7 linked regions of the Xenopus tropicalis genome follow. The protein of the gene in region 7 purifies or fractionates together with the protein of the main gene of each other region. This does not show direct contact. Links are inferred from orthologs where the notes say so. Each region holds a gene or a part of one and is shown on either strand. Other genes may lie near its edges. The genes, in order: phf5a, smndc1, dhx15, u2surp, snrpd1, prpf3 and sf3a2.

The links.
Region 1: the proteins of sf3a2 (region 7) and phf5a purify together in Homo sapiens (affinity purification with mass spectrometry; 5 studies listed by BioGRID and IntAct, with this or other methods). This does not show direct contact. The link is inferred for Xenopus tropicalis from reciprocal best matches to the Homo sapiens genes SF3A2 and PHF5A.
Region 2: the proteins of sf3a2 (region 7) and smndc1 purify together in Homo sapiens (affinity purification with mass spectrometry; 4 studies listed by BioGRID and IntAct, with this or other methods). This does not show direct contact. The link is inferred for Xenopus tropicalis from reciprocal best matches to the Homo sapiens genes SF3A2 and SMNDC1.
Region 3: the proteins of sf3a2 (region 7) and dhx15 purify together in Homo sapiens (affinity purification with mass spectrometry; 4 studies listed by BioGRID and IntAct, with this or other methods). This does not show direct contact. The link is inferred for Xenopus tropicalis from reciprocal best matches to the Homo sapiens genes SF3A2 and DHX15.
Region 4: the proteins of sf3a2 (region 7) and u2surp purify together in Homo sapiens (affinity purification with mass spectrometry; 3 studies listed by BioGRID, with this or other methods). This does not show direct contact. The link is inferred for Xenopus tropicalis from reciprocal best matches to the Homo sapiens genes SF3A2 and U2SURP.
Region 5: the proteins of sf3a2 (region 7) and snrpd1 purify together in Homo sapiens (affinity purification with mass spectrometry; 4 studies listed by BioGRID and IntAct, with this or other methods). This does not show direct contact. The link is inferred for Xenopus tropicalis from reciprocal best matches to the Homo sapiens genes SF3A2 and SNRPD1.
Region 6: the proteins of sf3a2 (region 7) and prpf3 purify together in Homo sapiens (affinity purification with mass spectrometry; 3 studies listed by BioGRID and IntAct, with this or other methods). This does not show direct contact. The link is inferred for Xenopus tropicalis from reciprocal best matches to the Homo sapiens genes SF3A2 and PRPF3.

What each region holds. Positions count from the first base shown.
Region 1 is NC_030680.2:120,351,134-120,355,429, reverse strand, and holds the start of phf5a (PHD finger-like domain-containing protein 5A), read right to left. Parts: upstream 2,801-4,296; 5' UTR 2,667-2,800; coding exon 2,615-2,666; intron 622-2,614; coding exon 598-621; intron 1-597.
Region 2 is NC_030683.2:2,911,965-2,916,238, reverse strand, and holds the start of smndc1 (survival of motor neuron-related-splicing factor 30), read right to left. Parts: upstream 2,801-4,274; 5' UTR 2,761-2,800; intron 1,273-2,760; coding exon 1,153-1,272; intron 1-1,152. UniProt on the Homo sapiens protein: Involved in spliceosome assembly.
Region 3 is NC_030677.2:31,415,087-31,417,299, reverse strand, and holds the end of dhx15 (pre-mRNA-splicing factor ATP-dependent RNA helicase DHX15), read left to right. Parts: coding exon 1-41; intron 42-627; coding exon 628-745; 3' UTR 746-1,713; downstream 1,714-2,213.
Region 4 is NC_030681.2:119,887,916-119,892,132, reverse strand, and holds the start of u2surp (U2 snRNP-associated SURP motif-containing protein), read right to left. Parts: upstream 2,801-4,217; coding exon 2,756-2,800; intron 1-2,755.
Region 5 is NC_030682.2:65,070,037-65,074,257, forward strand, and holds the start of snrpd1 (small nuclear ribonucleoprotein Sm D1), read right to left. Parts: upstream 2,801-4,221; 5' UTR 2,358-2,800; coding exon 2,344-2,357; intron 2,128-2,343; coding exon 2,051-2,127; intron 1-2,050. UniProt on the Homo sapiens protein: Plays a role in pre-mRNA splicing as a core component of the spliceosomal U1, U2, U4 and U5 small nuclear ribonucleoproteins (snRNPs), the building blocks of the spliceosome.
Region 6 is NC_030684.2:127,691,370-127,694,869, reverse strand, and holds part of prpf3 (U4/U6 small nuclear ribonucleoprotein Prp3), read left to right. Parts: coding exon 1-37; intron 38-137; coding exon 138-444; intron 445-1,294; coding exon 1,295-1,461; intron 1,462-1,782; coding exon 1,783-1,865; intron 1,866-2,634; coding exon 2,635-2,778; intron 2,779-3,024; coding exon 3,025-3,124; intron 3,125-3,500. UniProt on the Homo sapiens protein: Plays a role in pre-mRNA splicing as component of the U4/U6-U5 tri-snRNP complex that is involved in spliceosome assembly, and as component of the precatalytic spliceosome (spliceosome B complex).
Region 7 is NC_030677.2:102,623,189-102,627,383, forward strand, and holds the end of sf3a2 (splicing factor 3A subunit 2), read right to left. Parts: coding exon 4,182-4,195; intron 3,657-4,181; coding exon 3,547-3,656; intron 3,079-3,546; coding exon 3,029-3,078; intron 2,655-3,028; coding exon 2,514-2,654; intron 2,250-2,513; coding exon 2,181-2,249; intron 1,220-2,180; coding exon 596-1,219; 3' UTR 501-595; downstream 1-500. UniProt on the Homo sapiens protein: Component of the 17S U2 SnRNP complex of the spliceosome, a large ribonucleoprotein complex that removes introns from transcribed pre-mRNAs.

The sequences.
Region 1 (4,296 bases), on a different chromosome or scaffold from region 7:
CGCACTCCCAACAGGCCTGCCCGACCGATATCTGGCCTCAAATTGGCCAGATCTCGATGGGGCAGGTTAGAAAATCTAGTTGGATCGTGGACCGCATCGGCTCATTGATGCAGTCCCCGGACCGACTTTTCCTATACCTGCTGTTATAATTCGATCATTTGGCCCCAGGGATCGAATTACCCTGGATTCTCCCGATATCGCCCACCCATAGGTGGGGGATATCGGGAGAAGATCCGCTCGCTTGGCGACATCGCCAAGCGAGCGGATCTTATGGTGTATGAGGACCTTAAGTCTAACCTTACATGCACCCCACAACTACACACACTTTTAAACAGACTGTAAATTCTTGATTTTCCCCACTCAGCAGATGTTAAGCAATGTCATTTTTTTAATAATGTCTAATGTAATACAACTGCTGAATATAGAATATATAATCAGATATATCAGAGATATCAGATATAGGACTGGCAGCAACACTTAAAAACCATTGCTTGTTGAGAAATAATCAGTTGCACAAAGAAGACAAAGGTGAAACATTTTTTGCATATGAACAAATGCAATTTATATTTTAAAAGTTTAAGAATTATATATACTCACATTTTTCACAGAGTCTTCCAATAGCTGCAATAGAAAATTATAAATGTAAGTGTTTATATATATATATATATATATATATATATATATATATATATATATATTAAACAGTGGTCATCATGTTGTACACATATCTTAAATATCTAAAATGCTTTAAAGGACATGTAAAACAAACAAAAATGTAATCAGTGAACAGCCTCATTGAAATCTTTAAATACCTGCCACTCCTGTTGTTCAAACGGTTAATAGAAAGGCTGCAGTATCCCCTTAATCACTTAGGATTTCTTTTCCTCCTCTAACCCGCTCTGCCCCATCCCTTATGAATTGACTTCGGCTGGTGGCTAACGAGCATGCTCAGTTCTTCTTAACTCAGGTTACCAAACACAGCCTCCAGTCTAGCAGCCAATGAAGAGATCACTGCTGGTTTCCCTAGAAACGCTGCTCTCGCTGTGTAATCTGCTGGAGCTCAGTTTACGGTTACAGGGCACAATCCAAGCAGGACTTCTTGTTAAAGTAACTTTAATATGTGCAATTTACAGATGTTAAAGGAAAAGGAAAGGCTAAGTCACTTGGGGGTGTCAAAACGTTAGGCACCCCCAAGTGACTTTAATTGCTTTCCTTTTACCCCGGGCTGGTGCCCCTGTTAGGAGAAAAACGCACCAGCCTGGGGTAGCTGCGAGTGTGGTCTCCTCTTCTTTCTTTGCGCACTTGCGCAGTAGAGTGAAAAGCCAAACTTTAACAAAAAAGTCGGCTTTTCACTCTACTGCACATGCACCGGCCCAGGGATTTTGATGAGAAGGAAGAGGAGACACTTGCTCACAGCTACCCAGTGCTGGTGCGGTTTTCTCCTAACAGGGGCACCACACAGGGTAAAAAGTAAGCGATTAAAGCCACGTGGGGCTGCCTAACATTTTTTTCTCCTTTAATGTCACTAAAGATGTGCGAGAGAGAATATGGCCACCGGGTAAAGCTGCTATTTGCTTTAGGAAAATGTGATGGTTTTGGCAAACAGAGGGGTTATATGCAGTACAAATGGTAAAGTTTGGTTGGGGGGGGGGGTATGTGCCAACTTATATACGTGGTAGGAAGATAAATGGTTTACATGTCCTTTGAAAGCTGTAGTAAAGACTAGCTTTACTAGCTCCAACAACTTGCCAGTACAAACATGAAATTAATTTATAAATTCAGTAAGGCATTAATTAACCTCAAATGGTATTGGCTGGAACTGTTTCAGTATTGTATGTACCGACGTATCATTGCATGTATAGTATCAGATTACCAGGAGGTCCACAACAATGAAAGCCCTAAGCTTTAGAATTCATTATCTGTTATGTTAAATACAATGTAGCTTTAGAAAAAGGAAAACATTAAAAAAAAATAAAAAATACAAATCTGTGTTTCTATAGCACGCTGTTTTTTTGCCATTACACAGGTCACAGAGTAATCTCACCCATTCGATGCACCTAAACATTGTGTTTTGTCATTTTCCCTCACATTCATAACATAAGAAATTCATGTTGGAAAGCACTTCAATAGTAACATTACTGTGCAGATCACCTCTGTAATTATAATAATCAACATTTCCCTTAAATAAGAAGTTAGGTTTCTCTGCAGATTTCTGCAAATATAGGACAAGTTCTGTTGCATGAGTTTAAATAGGAAAGTCAGATTGTGCTTTAGTAGAATTGCAATAATCAAGGAGTTAGCATTCAGCGTATAACTAGATCAGGTTCAAGCTCCACCTCTCAAACTACAATCTGAAACATAAATATACATAACAATTATAAAACTGAAGTATTGTGGATAACAAATAAAAGAGGGTTAATGAAGCCCTGTGAGGGAACACATATACCTGTTACATACGCATACAAGGAGAGTATACACAAGTACCGAACGTGCTATCCGAATGATTTAGAAAGGCAATCAATAGAAACGGCCAATCTATAATGCCTACGAGAGGAGAGTTTTCTGTCCTCAGTTTTACACCGTTACACCGAACACATTACCCAGCGCAACTCACCCACGCCCGCCTGTTTTCTGCAAAAAATCAAATCTGGATGATGCTTCGCCATGTCTGTTTAAATTCCTTTCCTTCGCCGGCCGCGCGTTCACTCCAGTTCTGTGTTCCAAGCCTCTTTCTCGCCCATGGACTTTACGTCATTTCCTTGCTGTTACGCCTAGGAAACTTAGCTTGTGGGTTCCAATTGGTTAAAGAATCGCTTAGACGCTTCTCTTCCTTCTTGTGCGATGAACTTTTACACCGGATATCCTGTTAATAGGCGTTTCGCTTTATAAAAGATTTGCGTTTTTTCGGCCCCATAGTACTGTTTCCTTTAAAGGGGCAGTCTACAGCTAAACATACTTTGCCAAAAATAAAGTACAATAAAGAAAATGCAATTAAAATATATTCTATGGGGCAGATTTATCGAAGTACGATGTTCATACGTTTAAAAAGCATGATACAAAAAAAATCGTATCAAATACGTTTTTTTGTATCATGCTTTTTGAAGTACGAAAAATTTGTATTTAAGAATATAATAAAATCGGATCTTTACGATATATATATTTATATTTGAACAGTCGTAAAATGTGGGAAAATCTTTCTGACTTTGATCCTTCTGTGCATGATTTTGGAAGCCTCCCATAGGACTCAATGGCACTCTGCAGCTCCAACCTGGCCCAAGGAAAGTCTCCCATAGGGCTCAATGGCACTCTGCAGCTCCAACCCGGCCCAAGGAAAGTCTCCCATAGGGCTCAATGGCACTCTGCAGCTCCAACCTGGCCCAAGGAAAGTCTCCCATAGGGCTCAATGGCACTCTGCAGCTCCAACCCGGCCCAAGGAAAGTCTCCCATAGGGCTCAATGGCACTCTGCAGCTCCAACCTGGCCCAAGGAAAGTCTCCCATAGGGCTCAATGGCACTCTGCAGCTCCAACCCGGCCCAAGGAAAGTCTCCCATAGGACTCAATGGCACTCTGCAGCTCCAACCCGGCCCAAGGAAAGTCTCCCATAGGGCTCAATGGCACTCTGCAGCTCCAACCCAGCCCAAGGAAAGTCTCCCATAGGGCTCAATAGCACTCTGCAGCTCCAACCTGGCCCAAGGAAAGTCTCCCATAGGGCTCAATGGCACTCTGCAGCTCCAACCTGGCCCAAGGAAAGTCTCCCATAGGGCTCAATGGCACTCTGCAGCTCCAACCTGGCCCAAGGAAAGTCTCCCATAGGGCTCAATGGCACTCTGCAGCTCCAACCTGGCCCAAGGAAAGTCTCCCATAGGGCTCAATGGCACTCTGCAGCTCCAACCTGGCCCAAGGAAAGTCTCCCATAGGGCTCAATGGCACTCTGCAGCTCCAACCTGGCCCAAGGCAAGTCTCCCATAGGGCTCAATGGCACTCTGCAGCTCCAACCTGGCCCAAGGAAAGTCTCCCATAGGGCTCAATGGCACTCTGCAGCTCCAACCTGGCCCAAGGCAAGTCTCCCATAGGGCTCAATGGCACTCTGCAGCTCCAACCTGGCCCAAGGAAAGTCTCCCATAGGGCTCAATGGCACTCTGCAGCTCCAACCTGGCCCAAGGAAAGTCTCCCATAGGGCTCAATGGCACTCTGCAGCTCCAACCCGGCCAAGGAAAGTCTCCCATAGGGCTCAATGGCACTCTGCAGCTCCAACCTGGCCCAAGGAAAGTCTCCCATAGGGCTCAATGGCACTCT
Region 2 (4,274 bases), on a different chromosome or scaffold from region 7:
CTGTGGGATAATGGCAACAGCACCCACTGCTGGAGGGAAGCGGGGAGCACAGCTCAGGTCCAGGGTCAGAGACCCTCACTGCAAGGAGGTGAAGGCCGACATGGACCCTCCAGTTTAGCTGCCTACACTCAGTGGGCAACATCTGGGGTATAAAACCTTGTTTTAAGGGCTACACAATCCATTATTTTGGATTTGGCCAAACACCCCACAAGGGATTGGACATCCGGCTGTCGGTTACTTTAAAACCACATGACCATAAATAAAGGTGCAGTCAAATCCAAATATTGGCCAAATACAGATCCAACTCCTGGAATAGGTAAAGTACTAGTTTTATGCTCCAAGTGAAATAACTGTGCTGCTGTATATAGCCGTGCCAAGCAGCTCTACAACTGACGAGATTTGCTTCCTTACCACCGACATGGTACATCAAGAGCTTACAATCTAATAAAGCATTAGTTTGCTGCCTGTAGAATGACCGGCAATATATCAGATATTTGGAAGGAATTTTCCTAGGATTGAATAATACACAAAAAGGCACTGGAGCCCTTGGGAGGAAGAAGAACCATAATAAAGACCTGAAGGACAAATCCTGCCAGAATGGTGGATTTGTTCTAAAGGAGAAGTAAACCCTTGTAGTAAGTATCTGGCCCCCTGCATGGAGTCTCCTCCCCCTCCTGTGAATCTGTTACTGGCTTCCAGTTTGAACCCTCCATGTTGGCAATTTGTGCCAGTGTTGTGAGCAGACATGGCCGCCACCAAACACACCCCTTTAATTTAGTCACGTATGATTGGGCAGGGCATCTGGTTAGGGCAGTGGGTCTGTTCCATATGCCTTCTAGGAGGGTTAATTTCTCCTTTAACTGCTTTCCTGACACAAAACGTAGACTCCACAGACCTGAATACATTTCTGCATTACGTTACAGGCAATGACAAAACCATGTTGCCTAGAGACAAGTGTCCCTAAATGTTACTGGCACCCAAAGGGTTAAGGGGAAACAAGATCTTTAGGACAATAAAAATGGGGATTGTGCACTGGAAATGCACCGGGAGCAGTAATAAAACAGAGGAGAATAAGGCTTAGACCTTTATCCCATTTACTGGCCGGGCAGGGCAAACAGAAGCCACAGGCCACGCTATTAACAAGGGAATTACCTGCAAATCTTTCTTTAGTTTCAGTAAATCTTCATTCTCGCCATTGGCCGTTAACGCAGATTCAACCTGTTGCAATTGGGCTTTGTAACCCGCCAGCTGCTTAGCTAAATCTTCTGCCATCTGCAAGGAACCAGCAACGGGAATCAGTCATGTACAGTCACTTTATATTAGAGAATAAAACAATTCCTTCTCTGTATATTTGTATTTATACATATGGGTAGGAGGTGCCATAGTGTTTCCCTTAGACAGTACAGTATGAGGGTACAGCTTATTGTGTGCCCAGAACATTCCTTCTCTGTATATTTGTATTTATACATATGGGTAGGAGGTGCCATAGTGTTTCCCTTAGACAGTACAGTATGGGGGTACAGCTTATTGTGTGCCCAGAACATTCCTTCTCTGTATATTTGTATTTATACATATGGGTAGGGGGTGCCATAGTGTTTCCCTTAGACAGTACAGTATGGGGGTACAGCTTATTGTGTGCCCAGAACATTCCTTCTCTGTATATTTGTATTTATACATATGGGTAGGGGTGCCATAGTGTTTCCCTTAGACAGTACAGTATGGGGGTACAGCTTATTGTGTGCCCAGAACATTCCCTCTCTGTATATTTGTATTTATACATATGGGTAGGAGGTGCCATAGTGTTTCCCTTAGACAGTACAGTATGGGGGTACAGCTTATTGTGTGCCCAGAACATTCCTTCTCTGTATATTTGTATTTATACATATGGGTAGGAGGTGCCATAGTGTTTCCCTTAGACAGTACAGTATGGGGGTGGAGCTTATGTGTGCCCAGAACATTCCTTCTCTGTATATTTGTATTTATACATATGGGTAGGGGTGCCATAGTGTTTCCCTTAGACAGTACAGTATGGGGGTACAGCTTATTGTGTGCCCAGAACATTCCCTCTCTGTATATTTGTATTTATACATATGGGTAGGGGGTGCCATAGTGTTTCCCTTAGACAGTACAGTATGGGGGTACAGCTTATTGTGTGCCCAGAACATTCCTTCTCTGTATATTTGTATTTATACATATGGGTAGGAGGTGCCATAGTGTTTCCCTTAGACAGTACAGTAATGGGGGTACAGCTTATTGTGTGCCCAGAACATTCCTTCTCTGTATATTTGTATTTATACATATGGGTAGGGGGTGCCATAGTGTTTCCCTTAGACAGTACAGTATGGGGGTACAGCTTATTGTGTGCCCAGAACATTCCCTCTCTGTATATTTGTATTTATACATATGGGTAGGAGGTGCCATAGTGTTTCCCTCAGACAGTGGGAGGGAAGGGATAAGGGACAGGAATGAGTAGGAATGGGTTGGGGACAAACTACAGGACCAGTCCCGGTTCCGAGTGAATGAGGGGTGAGTACAAACATAAGTGGCCAATGGGGTGTCGGTAGGGGGGAGGGATGGGGGGGGGGGGCTCAGACACACAGTACAAGGCCCATGAGGCCGGACGCCCCGGGGGTAACGCTATAGAGACAGGGGCTGCCCAGCACCACACTATAAGCCAACTCCGACCCCCCCGACCCTCAGTAACCCAGCCCCGGGCCGCTCAGCCGCCCAATCCCCCGGTTTCCCGCTCCGGTCACTCACCGCGTCGCTCTCCGTCTCACAAACACTCACTTCCCGGCAGCCCCTCCTCTTCTCGCGAGAATTCCGGGCTCTCGCACTTGCCCAGACGCCCCGCCCCCGGCTCTTACGCACGCAGAGACGGTTGCCATGGCGACCAGGGGAGAAGCCAAAGTGGCGTCGGTTGCGCTCTAGGGGGAGGGGCAAGAATACGAGAGCCGCCTGTGAGAGAGTCTGTGTGAGGGTTGTCGGGTTGGTGGTTTTCCCGCCAAATTGGGCTACTAGCCCAAGGTACAGTTCTGGGTTATTGTTTGGAGCCTTGGCGGGTTTGTAGTTTATAAAGTAGCCAAAGTTTTTTTTCCCCTCTAGTGTGCCTGTCCCACTGCATGCTGGGTAATGTAGTTTGTATGTAACAATTAGCCTACAGCTAGTAATGATATAAAACTACAATACCCAGCATGCAATTGGACAGTATAGACATTCTGTTTTGTATTCCTTTTTGCTGTTTCAGGCTCAACCTGTCTATTCTACCCCCTGCTCCCTGCTCTATAGGGTATGTGATTGTACTGTTACTTTCTACTGGGATGTGGGGCAGTTCTACCCCCTGCTCTATAGGGTATGTGATTGTACTGTTACTTTCTACTGGGATGTGGGGCAGTTCTACCCCTGCTCTATAGGGTATGTGATTGTACCGTTACTTTCTACTGGGATGTGGGGCAGTTCTACCCCCTGCTCCCTGCTCTATAGGGTATGTGATTGTACTGTTACTTTCTACTGGGATGTGGGGCAGTTCTACCCCCTGCCCCCTGCTCTATAGGGTATGTGATTGTACTGTTACTTTCTACTGGGATGTGGGGCAGTTCTACCCCCTGCTCTATAGGGTATGTGATTGTACTGTTACTTTCTACTGGGATGTGGGGCAGTTCTACTCCCTGCTCTATAGGGTATGTGATTGTACTGTTACTTTCTACTGGGATGTGGGGCAGTTCTACCCCCTGCTCTATAGGGTATGTGATTGTACCGTTACTTTCTACTGGGATGTGGGGCAGTTCTACCCCCTGCCCCCTGCTCTATAGGGTATGTGATTGTACTGTTACTTTCTACTGGGATGTGGGGCAGTTCTACCCCCTGCTCTATAGGGTATGTGATTGTACTGTTACTTTCTACTGGGATGTGGGGCAGTTCTGCTATAACTCTCAGGGTATCTTGGGGCTTCTGAGAGTTGTAGTCCAACGCACCCGTATGTATATCATATCTGGGGTTAATACAACATTCTGAATTCATTGCTGTAGTGACTTCCCAGTGGGACTGGGCACAGAGGGAATAATCAGCCACCCCAGTAACTGGAGAGGGGGCACAGGGCTTGGGTAGGGATTATACGCTTTAAAAAGGCAGATTTTTCCAAATACTTTTCTATTTTTTTAGATTTCTTTTCATTGCGCATATTGGGCTATTTTTGGGCTACTTTTAAAGTGGCTTTTGGCTGGTTTTGGGCTGGTTTTAGAACTGACTGGGCTAGTTTGGAAAAGTAAATCTGC
Region 3 (2,213 bases), about 71 Mb from region 7:
AAGAACTACATCCGCACATGCACAGATATAAAGCCTGAATGGTAAGTTGGAGAATGGGCTAATTAGCTTAGGGGCACACAGCATGTGTAGTAGTAGTAGAAGTGGTAGGTGTTCGTACTTAGTAGCAGCTACTTGTCACTACTAAACTACTATGCCATCCCACTGGCGATTTACACTTGTGCCGGTGGGATGGCATGTCAGGGAGATTAGTCGCCCACGGTAGTGAAGATTTATCACGGGTGACTAATCTCCCTGTATGCCACTGCCCTTAGGGTGAAGACACAGCTACTAGTAGCAGCTACTTGTCATGGCCACAGAAACAGACAATGCTGATTATTTACTCTTAACTGTGTATAAGAGGCAATTCTCAGTATTGTCTATGGCAGAGTATTTTCTGGCATTTAGTAGCCGTGGACAAGTAGCTGCTACTAATAGCTCCGTGTGCCTTCACCCTTAGAGGCACATTTATCTCTTTATTTATCTTGAGCAAACTGCCGATCAGTAAGCTAATCTGACTGTTATGAACTTGCATATACCTTATACAAAAAGCCTGATTCTGTGAAATTTCTGGCTTTATAAATCTGCGTAATGTTTTCCTTACTTAGAAAATCAATGTTTCTTTTTCAGGTTGGTGAAAATTGCAGCTCAATATTACGACATGAGCAACTTTCCTCAGTGTGAAGCAAAGAGGCAACTGGAGCGCATTGTGGCCAAACTTCAGACTAAGGAATATTCACAGTACTGAGTTCTGGGGTTAGGGGTGGGGGGGGGTTGTTTTTTTCTTTTGCAAGTTTTAGCTTGTCTGAAGAGCAGTTTGAGCGAATGAAAGAAGCGATACATTTGTATACTATGTATTGGTCCAGTGGCGACCTTTATATAAGCTTTTTAATTTCTTTCATTACAGTAAATATGACATTCTTATTTCATCAATTGAACCTTTATGGCTCCCCTTTGTGTTAACACTGTTGCTTGTGCTGGAACAGTCAATCAATGTGTTGCAATTTATTGGAAGTAGTTCTATAAATAACATTGTTATAGGCATTTCTTAGGAAATGTTTGAAAGTACTTCTAAAAAAAATATAAATATATATGTATATGAGGGTAACCTGCAGCTCTTCAGATAATGACCTGGAATTCTTAGGGGCATATTTAAAAAGAGGTGTTAAATAATTTACACCTAAAAAGTGGTGGTAAATAAAATGTAGGCTGCATTAATGCCATATACTGTGAGCACAGGAATCCATTACTAGTGCCATTACAAAGCGCCCAAAATTCCCACCATTACTCGACACGGTTCCATACGTGGCACTACTCAGTGAAATTAAAGTGGTGTAAAAAGTGTCAGTAGCTTTTCTTTTTAAGCTAACACTTATTTTTATACCACGTTTGCCTGTACATATGCATAAAATCATTACACAGCTTCGTAAATCCCTGTCCTTTTCACATGGCGATCTATGGTGTTTAAAACAGCGCTGTTGTTGGCGGTTTAACACCTATTTAAAAATGCCCCTTAGTATCGCCCTCCCCGGTTCATTATCTCCATGGCCGCAGGTTGCACATCCCTGTATATGATCACACAATTTTACGCATGATTGGTGTAACTGTTGACATTCCTTTTAGAAGTTGTGAAATGTTACAACTGGTGCATCTGTAAACCCAAACATCAGCCTCAGTACTGGGGCCCTGGCTTCAATAAAGTCTATTTATACAAAACTTTTCATTTTTCTTTATTAATACAGTTTATTGTAGCCACAAAGTGGAGTTTCTACTAGAAGAATGTTATTAAACTACACATTTTCTAATTGTGCTCATGATACCTGCAATAGAATTTTAATTTCTAAATGAGAAAGAAAGAGAAAAACTAAGCTTTATCAGAAAGGTCTATGTAAATACAGCCATAAGCACTCACAGAAATGCTGCACTGAGTTCTCTGTCAAAAGATTTCTTGTCTGTAATTCCTGTGCCAGAGACACACAGCACTCTGCTCTCTCCCCTCTCCTGTTCCCCCCTCCCTCAAGAATGCTAAAAACTCCCCCCCCCCCCCCCCCCCCCATAGGAATGTGGATCTGAGCCAATCAGCAGGAAGCTGACTCATATTCTAACTAACTGAGCATGTACACTTGGTCTCGGTCTCGGTGCAGGAGTGAGGCCTTATGGGAACTTGCTTTACAAAGCTCAGCGTTTTTTCTTTGTTTGGCTTCTGCTCTTCTGAA
Region 4 (4,217 bases), on a different chromosome or scaffold from region 7:
ACAGCAAGCAGATGCACCTATTGGGGTAAAACGAAGCACAGGAGGTGCAGGGTAATACAACCTGCCGTCTGGTTGGGGGAAACAAAACCATTTGAGAATGGCTGTTCCCAGCGGAAGCTCCCTCCTGGTGTGGGCAGCACAGGGCTGGCTGGGGACTTTAGTATGCCACATCTACAGTGGGGGGAAATATTCCAGTGATCGGTGCTCTTTAAGCAAATAAAGGTGTGAGAAGGCAGGCCATGGGTTGGATTATTTCCATGGAGGCTTGGTCAGAGTGGGCAGCAGAAAAAGTCCCAACCTGAAGAGAGATTTAAGCTGGAGAAAACATAATGGCGATGCAAAGATTCTCTGAAACCAGTTAGATTTACCTCCCAAAATCCATCACTACAGCATAGAATAAGTTGTGGGAGGGACTGAGTGACTGCCAGCCTAAGGGGTCTCTGAGGGGTCGTTTGTCTACTTGAAAATATGTGTACGTACGTACCTGTTACACATATATACATCTAGTTGTTAGGCCTCAGTGACACTAAAAAAAAAGCGTACGAAAAAGCCATGCAAACGCGAAAAAAATTGGCGAATGAACGCTCCGAGCGTTCGTGTCTTCATAAATCTCCCCCTAAGACTTGCGACCAGTTGTTTAGGCATTTGGGTAGGTTAGAAAATTTTGGTCTGATATGACGATATCCTTGAGGGACCTACAATGCATTTCTGGGAGGTCACTTTGGTACAACTGTTGACAATTATTTTATGTTCAGACCACCCTCCAATGTATTATTTTAGTACTTTACCCTACAATTTAAATCTGAATGTTAGTTTTAGATCGATGCATTAAAACAGGGATCCCCAACCTGTTTTACTCGTGAGCAACATTCAAATGTAAAAAGAGTTGGGGAGCAACACAAGCATGAAAAAGGTACCTGGAGGTGCCAAATAAGGGCTATGATTGTCTATTTGGAAGCCCCTATGTGGAATGGCAGCCTAAAGAAGGCTCTGTTTGTCTTTTCACTTGGTTTTATGCCACCAAAACTTGCCTCCAAGCCAAGTTATCAAAAAATGAGCACCTGCTTTGGGGCCACTGGGACCAACAGCCAAGGGGTTTGGGAGCAACATGTTGCTCACGAGCTACTGGTTGGGGATCACTGCATTAAAACATATGATGTTTTCGGAAGTTGACTAAAATCTGAACATGTAAGGTCAGCAGGGTTGCCACAGAATAACTGCCACCAGCCTTAGACCCATAAGAATCCTAAACCTTTTAGGTTTCAATGCATACTGTACTTCATTGTGCTCAACAATGGGTTTCAGCAAACATCCCACAAGCAAAGCCATCAGGAAAGCACTGATTAGACATACCTGCAGTTAAATAATTGATCTAGTTAGTGCTACGCAGGTAAAAGCACCCTTTTATACCCCTTGAGGCAGCCGTATAATTTAAGGTGGCCAAACAGATCCCAAACAAGGGTGGCCACACAAACAGATCCCAAACAAGGGTATTTTTGCCCAACATGATGACCATTTGCAGGACCAAATCAGCAGGTATCTGATACTGAGAATCTTGGCAGTTGACTGTATCAAAGCCTGAATGTGGTTCCCTTATGTCATCACAGAACAGCGTTATGATTAGTTTGATTTGGCCCTGTATATGGGAGTCATTTGGTGACTTTAGGCAGAATGCTGGAAGTGCCCCATATATGGGCCCGTAGGTTGCTGTGTGGAGAGGCCAAGTGAGCAGATTTTTTTGGCCCATGTATGGGCTTTAGAATACACCACATATTGTCATCTGAATATTATGAAACAAATTAACAAAAAAAACAAATTTTCTTCAGAAAGAGGGATGAAAAGTATGAAACCTGGAGGGAGATGCACACGGCTTCATAGGTACCACTTGTTTGTTTGTTTACTAGTATAAATATACATGGCCCTCTATGTTGTCGGTTTGGAACCTGATTAGATCCTACGTTTGTTGAAAAAAAGGCACTAGGAATTGGATATATTATTTGCTGTCGAGCTAAAACCCTCTGAAAGCCTATGTGAGATGTGCCTCCTACAGTACAGAAAGTCGCAGTTAGTTGTGTTTCCTGCAAACAACTGTGGCATCCATGTCCCTGGCTTAGGCCGTAAAGCAAGCAGCTTGGCTGGAATATCATATACCAGAAACTGCACTCCTACAACTTTCTACATACACTGCCCCGGGCCTTGGAACTAACGCTACTGGAGCGCCAAAGAATCCTCCCAACCCTCCTCTCTTCTGTTCTAGCCAATGCGCGGCACCGCTTTGCCTCACGGAAAGCTTGCCCGGCGCTACAGAAAGCTTGCCCGGCGCTACAGAAAGCTTGCCCGGCGCTACAGAAAGCTTGCCCGGCGCTACAGAAAGCTTGCCCGGCGCTACAGAAAGCTTGCCCGGCGCTACAGAAAGCTTGCCCGGCGCTACAGAAAGCTTGCCCGGCGCTACAGAAAGCTTGCCCGGCGCTACAGAAAGCTTGCCCAGCACTAGGCCGCCTACTGCACGCTAAAGGTCCCCATGTGTTGCTGGAATTGCCCCATTGCTAAAGCCGGAACTGCAGGCCCATAACAACCCCAAAGCCAATGTACATGAGCCTCCCCAGGAGACCAGGCCTCGACTCCTGCGCACATCGCTGAGCCAGGCCTGCGGCTTCGCATCTGTGCCAATACCCGTACCCTCCCTTCCCTGAGCGCCACAAACAGAAGCTATATACAAACAGCACAGCGCCGGGGCATCCCAGTAAGCGCTCACCTTTTGCCCCGCTCGTTGCGAGCCGCCAGACGTCTTCTCCGCCATCTTGCGTATCTCCGCCTCCTCCCGGCCGAGCAATCGATACCCGAGAGCTATGAATGTGAGTAGGCGAGAGTTCGCACGCTGAGAAGGCTGGATAATGGATTTCCGAAACATTCAGCAAGACCAATTGTTAACTGCGTCACTTTTGCGACGTGCTCCAGAATTGTGTTTTGTGTGATTGTCGCAGTGATGATATGAGCTTTACACTGTGTCTTTTACATGTATTGTGGCGATTTCACGCAGGCATTCGTTTTCTCATGTGCATTGATTAATGCAAGTAATATGTTATAATGCCGGAGTATTCTGCTGCCGCATTTCATTTGGCTAGTGACGTTGCAGCTTTTCTCTGTAGCAGAAATATGTCCCTTGTGCCATCGGAGAAGTGACTGAGCTGCTGCAACGGATCCGTTTAAAACGCGGTAACCTGTAGGATATTATTATTATTTGGAGATGTATCAGTGGTAAGGTCCCCCCATTTGTATAAAGTGGTATGGTCCATCCACATCAAGTGGTACAGACCTCACACCTGTCCACATCAGGTGGTTTGGTTCAAACCCTCCCATCCGCATGAAGTGGTACAGTGCATAACCCACTCCACATTAAGTGGTTATGGTCTACACCAGTGCTGTCCAACTTCTGCGGTGCCAAGGGCCGGAATTTCTCGCATACATGGTGGAGGGCCGCTAATGGAAGTCACTTTTGACCACTCCACTTTTTTAAACCACACCTATTTTATCACAATGGTGGTAGCGCAGCAAAAACCCAAATGCTTGGTCCTTACTGCGGGAATATCTACTGTCATTCAAATGTAAAAGAATTATATTATGTCATATTAATATATACCCTGAAATCCATATGCCTCCTCCTCCCCTGTGGATAGCATAGCAACCCCCAGCACATAATTACACACCTTAGGGATCATTTAATGGCTATTTCCAACTGCTAACAAACTCCCAAAACAAACCCTTGCCATGTTCACCTCCCACAGGCAGCATAAGGCAGGCAGAGTATGGCACACACAGGCAGCTAAGGGCAGGCAGAGTATGGCACACACAGGCAGCATAGGGCAGACAGAGTATGGCACACACAGGCAGCACTCTGCCTGCCCTACCCTGCCTATGTGTGCCATACTCTGCCTGCCCTACCCTGCCTGTGTGTGCCATACTCTGCCTGCCCTACCCTGCCTGGGTGTGCCATACTTTACTTGCCCTATGCTGCCTGTGTGTTCCATACTCTAAATGCCCTGTGCTGCCTGTGTGTGTCATACTCTGTCTGCCCTACCCTGCCTGTGTGTGCCATACTCTGCCTGCCCTACCCTGCCTGTGTGTGCCATACTCTGCCTGCCCTATGCTGCCTGTGTGTGCCATACTCTACCTGCCCTATGCTGCCTGTATGTGCCATACTCTGCCTGCCCTACCCT
Region 5 (4,221 bases), on a different chromosome or scaffold from region 7:
TCCTGGTGGGGGGCGGCCTAGTGCAGACAGACTTTAAAAAAAACCCAAAAACTACTGCATCTCCCAACCAGAGTGTGGGCTCTATTAGCCTGCAACTTTGGTGGGGAAGCAATTTTAGCGCGATCGGTGCCCTTTAAGGTAAACGTATGACAAATTAAAAGAACATCTTTGAAAAAGGTTTTGTTGCATTTGGTTGTACCCTATGGTATGATAAAATCTGACAGGTCCCCCTGCCCACAACAGACTGGCCCATTCTATTTGACCAAAATTTTGGTAACTAAAAATAGCTGTTGACTTTCTCCCGGATGAGATGTCTCTGTCAAGTTGTTGTCCCATGTCCAAACAAATTTGTGGTAACATGAAAGAACACAACAGAATAGGTTGGAGATGTGAATAGGCATTGCAAGCAGGGGCAGAATATTTTGTAAACTAAGGGCTGTGGCAGACGGGGAGATTAGTCGCCACTCGACAAATCTCCCCGAAATGCCATCCCACCGGCTAGAATGTAATTCCCGGTGGGACGGCATACATGGCGCAGAAATTGCCGAAGTTCCTTTGCAACTTCGGCAAATCGCCCTGCCGCATATGCCACTGCATCGGCGATTTACATTCTAGTCGGTGGGATGGCATTTTGGGGAGATTAGGTGCCCCTGGTTTAAAAATTAGCACTGAGTACCATAAACTGGGAAGTTGTCCAATGGCTGAACACAACAGTAATCACAGATTAGTATCACTGTTATTTGCAGTTATTGGTGCTTTACTAGGGCATCCAACAAAATTTAAAGGAGGCATATAGGATTAACAAAAATATTCTCTTAGTTCCCTGTTTCAAATGAGGGAGGGGGGCGTGTCCTAACGGTCCCTGCCATAAACACAGTAGGAGGGGGGGTTGCCAATCACAGCCCTGCACTCACACAAAGGAAGGCTTCAGCTCCCTATCAGGTTTGCCTAGATCAGGGATCCCCAACCTTTTTTTATCCGTGAGTCACATTCAAATATAAGAAGACTTGGGGAGCAAAACAGGCATAATACATGTTCCTTTGGTTACTAAATAAGGACTGTTATTGGCTATTTGGTAACCCCTATATGGACTGAAAAACCTACAGGATGTTCTGTTTGGCAGCATATCTGGTTTTTATGCAACCAAAACATGCCTCAAAGCCCATAATTCAAAAATAAGCACCTGTTTTAAAGCCACTGGGAGCAACATCCAAGGGGTTGGAGAGCAACATGTTGCTCACGAACCACTGGCCTAGATGCAGCCTGGGAAAAGAAGGCAGCAGGTAGTAAAACAGGTGGGTGGGGCTAGTGGGTTTTTGGGCGAAAATTTCAATAAACGCTACTTTTCTTAGCACATTCCATCAAAATAAAACTTACTGCACAGAAGCCAAGTCTTAGCAACAAAAGACAGCAGAAGTTATGTAACCTATGCTGCCGGAACTGTATTTTTGAGGTGACACGCATGTGTATATGACAAGACCTACACTCTGTATTCAAAACAGCATGGCTTCACCGACTTACAGAGAAGACACATTGACCAGAACCAGTCCCTGCTCTTTGCACCACAGGGGTTACTAATACACAGCCAATTATGATCAGAGTCAAACCACAATTGTGGGGAAGCTTCCCCTTTTCTACATATTCCCCACCGGACCTACCTCCTACCAATAAATGTTCACCCTGACCCACAGATCCAAATGCTCATAAGTGTGAGACCAATCAGAGGAGCTGGCTGAAGTTGCCATATCCAGCACTGGGGTGCATGCTAGACTTTCAGTAATTCACATTATTTAATGCCAGCTTGCAAATGGTTCCACCTGCCCACTGGGCAATCATGGATGCACACAGCTTATTTATATATTAAGTCTGAGAAAATTCATTATTTCCCACCAGTAACACCTTTGCTAGTAGTATATAAACCAATACACACTGAAGCAAGACAAAATGGTATGTCTCTTTTATAAAGATATTATCAATAAGTATTTCCATTGTGCACATTAAGTACACATAGCAATGTTATGGTATATATTTATGTGCCCCTCTGTATTACCTGTGATCGTGCCATGCACTTGGGTTCCGTTCTTAAGTTCCACTGTGACAGTTTCATGACTTAATTTCATCAAAAACCTATGAGAAAAAAAAACAAAAGCGTTCATGGCCAGCCGCTCGTGATGAACCCATTAGTTACACAGTTTATATTACAACGCAGACTCGCTAATACATTATTATCCGACGGAGCCTTTACTTCCCGCCGTAATCTTCTACTTACACAAAGCTCTCAAACGTAACTCTCAATCCACCACCATCCTCTGTGAAGGAACCCATAACAATCTAAACGCTTACCTAACTAACTTCATGACTTCTTAATACGAACGCGGATCCGACTCCTTCGGCCAGAAAAGGGTTATAGGACTGGCAAAATGAAACGCGAAAATTTACTTTTAGACCCTCCGAATTCTCATTGAGCGAAAGCAACGTTCCAGCGGAAATCGGCACCTACGTCAGATCCGGAAGCGGAAGCCCCAGTCGAGGGCGGAAGTTTTTGTTACATGTGTAATAGAAGATGAAAACGCTAGCCTGTCTCCACGTAGAAAAAGGAGAATTACATTTTCGACTTTTAAAAAGCAATACTATAAGGGGAGGCCTACACTGCAGTTAAGATACTTGCTTAAATAAAATGCACAAAGCGGCGTTCCAGCGAAGCCTTTTATGCTTGTGGATTACTTAAAATTTCGTCTAATACAGCGCAATGCATTTATAAAGAAATACTGTTGTAATAAAAACTTAGCATACATAGCTGAGCTAAAGTCAACTGGTGCATTTAATTCAACAGAAACGCTACAACACCATCGGGGCGGGGCCGAAGTAGAAGAGGGCGTGGTATTGAAGCTAAATTTCATTTTGGATCTAGGTTGGCCATTGGCATTGCATGGCATGAAAATAAGTATTCTCACTATTAAACTTTATTTTTAGGTAAAAGTTAATGTTTCGTTTTCTGAAGACAACATCCCTTTACCTGCTTACCTGCCACTGCATTTTTTTTTTTTTACATGCTTTTGATATGCTGTCTGCAATCCCCATTGTTAGAGACCTTTAGACAACTAGTGCTGAGGTTTGAATCTTCCGTAGGGACCCATAGGGTTAAGCTCCCCTATGGCTTTAAATCCTACCTCTTCTGATTTTGTACTGTTACTGGGCAACAGGGCCGGAACTAGGGGTAGGCAGAAGAGGCAGCTGCCTCGGGCGCAACGATTGGGGGGCGCCAGACAGGAGCCTCTTCTGCCTACCCCTAGTCCTGCTACTTGTCATTGCCCCCACCGCTTGTAATTAGTGGTGGAGGCAATGACCGATTGGATTGCACCCCCCCCCCTTGCGTTTGTTTTGGCGCCATTCGGGGAGAGGGGGAGTGGCCAAATGCCTAAGCACACGCAAGGGGGTGGGGGGTGGCCAACCGGGTTGCCTAGGGCGCCTGGTCAGCTTGGCCCGCCCCTGCTGGGCAAAGTCCCATGTATATAGTTTACACCTTATTGGTTATTTGGGTTGATCACACCCCTTGCAGTCTCATATAGTGTCTAGCAAGGAGATGTGACTTTCTCTTTGGCTGCCTTCTGAATCTCAAGGAACAGCTCCACTGAGCCTGGGACCACTACACCCTTACTCCGCATGGTCTCTTCCACCTAGCGAAGGCCCATTTTGTCTAAGAGAGTCGCATGTAGCCCATGCTCTAAACCTAACACTAGCATGGGTTTTGTCTATATATAGCCAAACAAGCGTTACACTTCACTTCTTGGACCCAATACCCTCACAATGAGTACTACTTAAAGCACTGATCCCCAACCAGTGGCTCAGGAGCAATATGTTGCTCACCAACCCCTTGGATGTTGCTCCCAGTGGCCTCAAAGCAGGTGCTTATTTTTGAATTTCTGGTTAGGAGGCAAGTTTTGGTTGAATAAAAACCAAGTATAATGACAAACAGAGCCTTGTGTAGGCTGCCAGTCCACATAGGGCTACCAATAGCCAATCATAGCTCTCATTTGCCACCCCCAGGATTATTTTTATGCTTGTGTTGCTCCTCAACACTTTTTCCATTTGAATGTATAAAAGGTTGGGGATGTAACCTATAAAGGCTGGAGTGAGCAGATGTCTAACATAACAGCCAGAAACTCTACTTCCTGCCACATGGGATATAACTGTTCAAGTTAGTTTGTGAGCACGCAGGAC
Region 6 (3,500 bases), on a different chromosome or scaffold from region 7:
GGCTGGCTAACCTTCACGCCATGGGAATTGCTCCTCCGTAAGTAAAGGTCATTCATAGCAAAGTTTCTTGGGCAGTCTGTTGGTGCCACCCTTGCAACACAATCATGTGATGTACCTTGTTCTTTGTCTTTCACTAGTAAAGTGGAGTTAAAGGACCAGTCGAAGCCCACGCCTTTAATTTTAGACGACCAGGGCCGCACTGTTGATGCAACTGGAAAGGAGATTGAGCTGACCCACCGAATGCCCACCCTAAAAGCTAACATCCGGGCAGTGAAAAGGGAGCAGTTCAAACAGCAGCTGAAGGAGAAACCTTCAGAAGACTTGGAGGCCAATACGTTTTTTGACCCCAGAGTTTCCATTGCCTCTTCACAGCGCCAGAAAAGGTTGTTTAAATTCCACGAAAAGGGCAAGTTTGAGAAGATTGCACAACGGCTTCGGACAAAGGTATTAATAGGGCAGAGTGGCCCTTTTTTGTTGTGCTGCTAAATTTTCTTCCATTTCAATACAATACAAGGAATAAAAACTGAGGAATAAACTGCTGCTTGATCCATGTTACCATGTTACTTTTGCCTGGGTCACTTTATTCTAAATATGATGATGTGTATTAAATAATATTAAGGATCTCTGCTAAACAGTCAGGTTTGAGTATACCATCAAAATGTTAAACTATGGTTGTGATGCAGCTCTAGTCATATATTAGGCAACTTTCTCTCCTCACATGAACCATCTGAAGGTATACTAACCGGTTTTGCAGTAGACAAACTACCTAACTTACCAGAAAGTAGTATTTGCTGGAAATGTCTACTTTCTGACTATTAATTAGTGTTCAAGGTGAACTAAAGCAAAAAAAAAAAAAAAATGGTTAAAAACGCTATTTTATATACTGAACTGTGCTAAAAGCCCTAAAAGAAATGATCCAGCCTTTAAATATTGTCCACGGGTTTACCCCATACCCCCCCTTTTAGTGTCAGTGGCACTGCACATTGTGCTCTGGGCTGCTGTTGAAAAGCTTAATCTTAAAGACAGAAATCATGAAGCAGAGAATGAGGTCTCCTTATCACAGAAGCTTTGTGTGTGTGTGTATATATCTACACCTCTTAAGAGATATAAACAAAAGATTAATTTGTATAAACTTTTTTTGTATTTTTTTGTAATTTTTTTTTTTTTTTTTTACTTATCGAAGTAAATCCCTTTAGTGGTTGAAATAAAAGTATCCAGAGCATCATTCATGAATGTAGCCTCTAATAAAGTGTGTACCAAAATAAACATGCTCACTATAGCTTTTTTTCAACAGTCACAACTTGAGAAACTGCAAGCTGAAATTGCCCAAGCTGCAAAGAAAACTGGTATCCAGACATCAACTAGACTTGCCCTGATTGCTCCCAAAAAGGAGCTGCGAGAAGGAGAGATCCCTGAAATAGAGTGGTGGGACTCTTTCATCATACCTAATGGCACAGAACTGTAAGTTTGGCCCACTCCATTTTTTTTATATGGTCTATTTCAGTGCTGATAGTCATGGGAATACAGCTTTGCTTCCTATACTTTTGGCTGCCTTCTCTAAAATTCCAAAAAAATATTGCAGTAAGAAATTTATGCGTAAGGGGATTATATATTATCCCTTTTTGCAACTTTCCAATATATATGTTTATTAAACATTTTCCCTGGCTTTCATGAATGTAACTGTTACTAAAATGTAACTGTTATCATCTGCCTGTTTTTATTCTCTGCACTTCTGCTGCAACAATACATGTCACGGCTTCTAACACCTTTTTTATATTTCAGGACAGAAGAAGCCTTATTAAAAAGAGAAGATTTTCACGGTATCACAAATCTCGTGGAGCACCCAGCACAGCTCAGCCCCCCAGGTAATGTCGACACACAGGATAGAAAGGGTTTCTTATTTAATGTCTAGCAAATAATTCTATGAGCTGTAGTATCTGTCATTATTATTGACTGTTTTATAAGTTTATATGATCAGAGTGGCTAAGCTGTCAAGAGCTGGCTGCAATGCTTACTGTTATGTTTTTTAGATAGTACTTTAGAGCACAGTAAATATTAAACAGTGCACAATTATTTACTTGCATCATTTTCACGTAGATATCTACATATTAGCACCCAGAGGATACTGTTTTTCCTTATCTTTTTAAAATATCAAATATGATTACATAGCACAGTAAATTCACTGAGTGTTTATTATTTACATTGGGCATCACACAATAAGTTCCCACAATCAAGTAGCCATATTAATTTTTTAATTTGAAGTCAAATAAACTGCTGGTATCTAGCTGGTAATTGCAAGGAAACCCACACAGACATGGGAGCATATATACAAATTCTGTGCAGTGCCCAGTTCAATGTTTGGTTGCTGGCCTTGCAGCTGAGATAGATACTGGATTTCTAATTTGATCTTTCTTGATGAAACCGCCTGCCAATAAGACTGTACATGGGACTAAATTTATAATCCATATTTGCTTAGGCTTGTTCAGATATTTCTTAGTCTGTATAGGAGTTCCACTGGGGTCTAGGACCCTCTACATATACTTGCTCAGCACAACACAAATCTACACACTACATGAAGGGCAGCTTAAATACATTCACTATAGATGTGCTAAGCACTGTTTTCTATGTATCCAGTTGACAGAGATGCTCCAGTGACACTAGGAATTTACCTGACGAAAAAGGAACAGAAAAAGTTGCGCCGACAGACTAGAAGGGAAGCACAGAAAGAGTTACAAGAAAAGGTGCGCCTGGGTCTTATGCCCCCGCCAGAACCCAAGGGTAAGTTTCCTGGTTGCTCCATGTAGGTATTAATACAGGTCATGGTTAAAAGACATTGTACTTTATCATAATAACTAAGCAAATTGGCTGTTCTGCATTAAGCATGCCCTTGTGCATCAATGTGTAATTTTGTGTTGATCCTAAATTCAGATTATAAAAATAGGATTTATGAATCCACTTTATCGGCAGTCACTCCCAGTTCTATTCCCAACTGCATACCATAACCTTTCCTTTTCTTTCTCTCAGTGAGGATATCAAATCTCATGCGAGTTTTGGGGACAGAAGCAATCCAGGATCCCACGAAAGTAGAAGCACATGTCAGAGCACAGATGGCAAAAAGACAGAAGTAAGATCACTTCCTTGGTTTTTTTTTCTGTTTAAGTGCATTGTTAGGGGAGGCAGCGGACTAATAAATACCACTTTAACACTGGGGAACCAGAGTAACGCTATTTAACATAAGTAAAGATTCTCAAACTTTTAGACCAGCAGCAGTCATAGAAAGACATTCTAATAGCCTGCCAAAGATGGAGAATTTGCATTTCACCAGCTTGCCAGAGTGGAATTGAATCACCTATTTGGTTGCCACAATATGGTGTGTACCCTAGCAACCAGGCAGTGATTTGTGGAAAAGGCTGGGATATGAACCCCCATTTGATAGCTACCATTTTAAATTTGACTATTAACTTGTAGTATATCTGTAATTGGTCCTGCAGCTCTTGGGC
Region 7 (4,195 bases):
AAGGCATGTTACAAATACCTCCTTGCATTCAGAAAATATTAGTGATGCCTTTACTGCCAAGCTTTGTTCGAGATGCTGGGAGGTTCCCGCATTTTGGCCAAGCTAAGACCTTGAGTTCACTGTGGGATGCGCATTCCCAAACTGTGCTGTCCCATGTTTTTAATTTTTTTTACTTTGCAAAATGAATGGGATCCCTCACAGCTTATTTTTAGAAAGCCACCCCTGTGAAACTCTCCCATACCTTGTCCTTGACAACTCACAAAACCTCTATTGTGGAAACTCTGTCAGGGATATTGCTGGAATAACCAATGCACCACTCTGTAGTACATATTAAATCAGGAATTCCCAGTAGGATATTGCAGGCCTCAATCCATTTGCACAGAATGCAAAACAATGCAAATATGTTTTGTTTCAATTGACCATGCAAATCTTTGTTATTATAGCTTTGCTTCCTGTAACTAACTCTACTACATACACACAAAATGAGAAACCACATTATATTATTTCAAAGGTGGGATTTTTTTTTAATGATTTAAAACATACCACAAATAAAAAAAACTGGGAAAAATATGCTTATCTTTGAAAAAGAAATACATCAGTTGGTGGGAGGGGGTGGAGGAATATTTGTTGGTCCATCGCTAGGTAAAGGTGGCCTCATCATTGGAGGCATAGGGCCAGGTGGGAGAACACCAGGTGCTGGAGGTGGTACACCTGGCGCTGGTGGAGGAGGTACCCCTGGGGCAGGAGGAGGTGGAACCCCTGGCGTTGGAGGGAGTGGCACACCAGGTGCAGGGGGCGGAGGCACTCCTGGGGCAGGTGGTGGGGGTACACCAGGAGGAGGAATGCCTGGAGGAGGAATGCCTGGAGGTGGAACACCAGGTGGAGGCACAGCAGGATTAGGAGGTGGTGGTACACCAGGTGGTGGTACGCCAGGAGGAGGAAGAGAAGGTGGGGGCACAGGAGGGTGCACCCCAGGAGGAGGAACAACTGGGGCAGGTGGAAGCTGTGGTGGCGGTACAGGAGGTGCAGGTGTCCCAGGTGGCATTGGGGGCATAGGCAGTCCTCCTGGAGGAGGAGGCGGCATATTCTCAGGCATTGGAGGACGTGCTTGTATCCCATTGATGGCTGGAGGAACAGGTCTTTTAACACCAGGTGGTGCTGGAGGCAAAGTGGGTGCTTGTGGAGGCTTCTCCATCTTAAAGTGGAACTGTAGGAAAAACTGAAAGAGAGGGCAAAGGAAAAAGTGTTGAAAAGGTCACATACTGTAGCTCCAAGCCTTTACAAGGTAATCCAGAAGTATTCAGAAATGTGTAGAAAAACTAGAGTGTTACCAAACGGTTTCCGGCAACATTTTTTCGTGTGGATATAACCTTAGCCTTACACTATGATGATCTGATATTTGGCACTATGACTGAGGATTTTTTACAGTGGGGATATTTGTTATTTAAAAATGGAGTGGTGATGTAATCCATTTCAATAAGGGGTACATCACATTCAAATAGTTATTTAGTGTTTTACTTTATACAGTTTATATCTGGGAAGTCCTATATTTGGCTTTTTTTTTTTTTACATTTAGGCTTAAATACATTATGCTGCAATTTTCTCCATTTAGTGCCTATGCCTGTGGTAACTGGTTATACCCGGTGGCTGTATGTAATAATAAACAAAGAATATACTGCCTTTGTTGCAGTTACTACTAACCTACTACAATGTTGTTTAATGGTGATTGTGTATTTGTCTGATATTTATGCATTATTACCTTAAAGACAGGACTGGGGGGTTATTTATTGTTCCTTTATGGCTTTTTACTATACATTTATTTAAATAATATAAAAAAAGAATATTTATACACACAATGTTAAACCTCAGCCTGTTTGGCATTTAAAGAAAAAAGGGTAGGCAAAACTATTAAATTAACTATCCCTATGGCATACTGCAGGACTGTAGGTGTTTTGCCACCCACCCCTGTATAATTTGCAGCTTGGTGGGCAGCTTGTAACTGCCCTTCCATAGACTTTTATAGTGATCACCTGGGCACTGCGTACACAATCACACGTCAGGCAATTATCTTGTCTTGGAGGAAATATGCAAAATGTGCACAAAATGAACACATGTAATTAAGACTACTAGGGTACATACGTGAGGGATCCCCCTTTTGCACAAGATGTATTTTATATTACCTGTTTTGTCTCTCTGTTCCAATGTGTCCAAAACTTTCCCTCCACTTTGTCTATTTCTCGACTTGGGACCTGTTGGATAAAAGAAAAAGTGCTGTAGAAATTCCACAATTGGATACATGGATAAAATAATTCTTGTCAATTTTCAGTAGGTTAGTGCAGGCTGTACTAAAAATATGTCATTTTGCAGAAATGGTGGGTGTTTGGTACGCCTACTGAATCGTATTTGAAGAATATATAATTGTGTTATAAGGTGAGAAGGGTTTTGTATGTGCGAGTTTTTCAAAGTTATGGTTTCAAATGCTAGAGAAAGGCTTGCTCTATAGCTTATCCTACCTTAAAAGCAATAGTTTCATAGGGCTCTGCAGCCATCAGCAGGTACTGCCATCGTCTGTCTGGGGGCTCAATCCTCTGTTCGTATGCAGACATAAAGCGGTGTCGGGGCATGATACCTTCAGCTATCTCAGGATAGTCAATCTGCAGAGAAAGAAAGACAGGGCTGAAGCATCATTACAGCATGGGCACCCCTATAGCATCTGGAGCATCATTGACATATTGGTTATTGTTTTAGGGGTAACATTTATGACAATACTTGTTGTCATCAGTAATATAGAATTTTTTGTAATACAGGTATGGAACCTCTTATCCAGATTGCTTGCGACCCAGGGTTTTCTTTAAATCAACCAAATACAATTGTTTTGTCTCCAATAAGTAACAATTATATTAGTTGGCATCAAGTACAAGGTACTGTTTTATTATTACAGAAAAAGGGACTTTGTTTTTAAAAATCTAAATTATTTGTTTAAAATAGAGTCTAAGAGAGATGGCATATCAGTAAATCACATTATTACCTGAAACAACAAAGACTGCTGGGCCATTTCTGGATCTCTCTGCTTAGTCACTAGAAAATAAATAAATGTATGGCTTTATTATCAGTCAGTGAAATAATATCATTTACTCTTTCACATTCAAGATACAGGGCAGAAACAGCTGCAATGCTGAGTGGCCAAATCAATATCAGTGCAAAAAACATCACTAATGCTGGAAACATTTGCTAACAGGACTTCTAAATGTTTAAAACATTCTAACAGCAGCAACAAAAGGTAGATGAAAGTGTGACTGCATAATTCTGACATCCATCTGAAAGCACCTAGTGATATACCTGCACTGATGGGTGCAGAGGACTGTTGCAAGCAGATGATTAAGCCAAATGTTAGCATAACCAGTCTTCAAACAAAAAGATAGGCTATTAAATGTAAGGGTAATCCACATGTGACTGAGGATACCAAAAAAGATTATTATGTTGGAATCAGGGTTATAAACCACTGCATTCATATAAAAGACATATTGACACAACACTTAATCTCACCCTTGTATCCAGGTCGACCAATTTTGACAAATTTCTTCACTTCTACCTTTACTTTTTCTGGGGCAGGTTGTGCTGGTGCTTCCTTTGCTTCTTTGGCCGCTCGGCGAGCTCTGATCAAAAGGAAAAAAAAAAGTAAGAATGTCTGCAACTGTTCACAAAATGATCTTTAATAAGACAGTGCCAGAGAAATCAGTACAGCAATTTGACACAACTTAAAATGTTTAAAATTAAGGAGAATTAACCATTCCTCTGCCACACCTCTCGATCTGAGAGGTTAAGAGAATGGAGAAAGCCAGAACATTAAAACCTATGGCTCTGGCAGTTACTCCCTTGACTGCAAACACCATACCTTTTATGATCTACCTGCAGCAAGCGGTTAATAACTGTAGATGTTGTGCACAAACCCTGACAAGATGCATGGAGGACTGGTTTTGGTTGGAATTAAAAATGGGTTGGGTGGTTTCCTTTCCTACAATTATCTGTCAAGTTTGGGTTTAGGAAGGAATTCCCACCACAACGTTCAACTGAAGTACAGTTTGGGGGTGGCTATGTTTACATTCTTTAGATAAATAATGGAAACTTTGACTTGACATTGCTGTGTTTTTTAATGCATAAAATCAGCACATTTAACTTACAAATTTGTCTGATG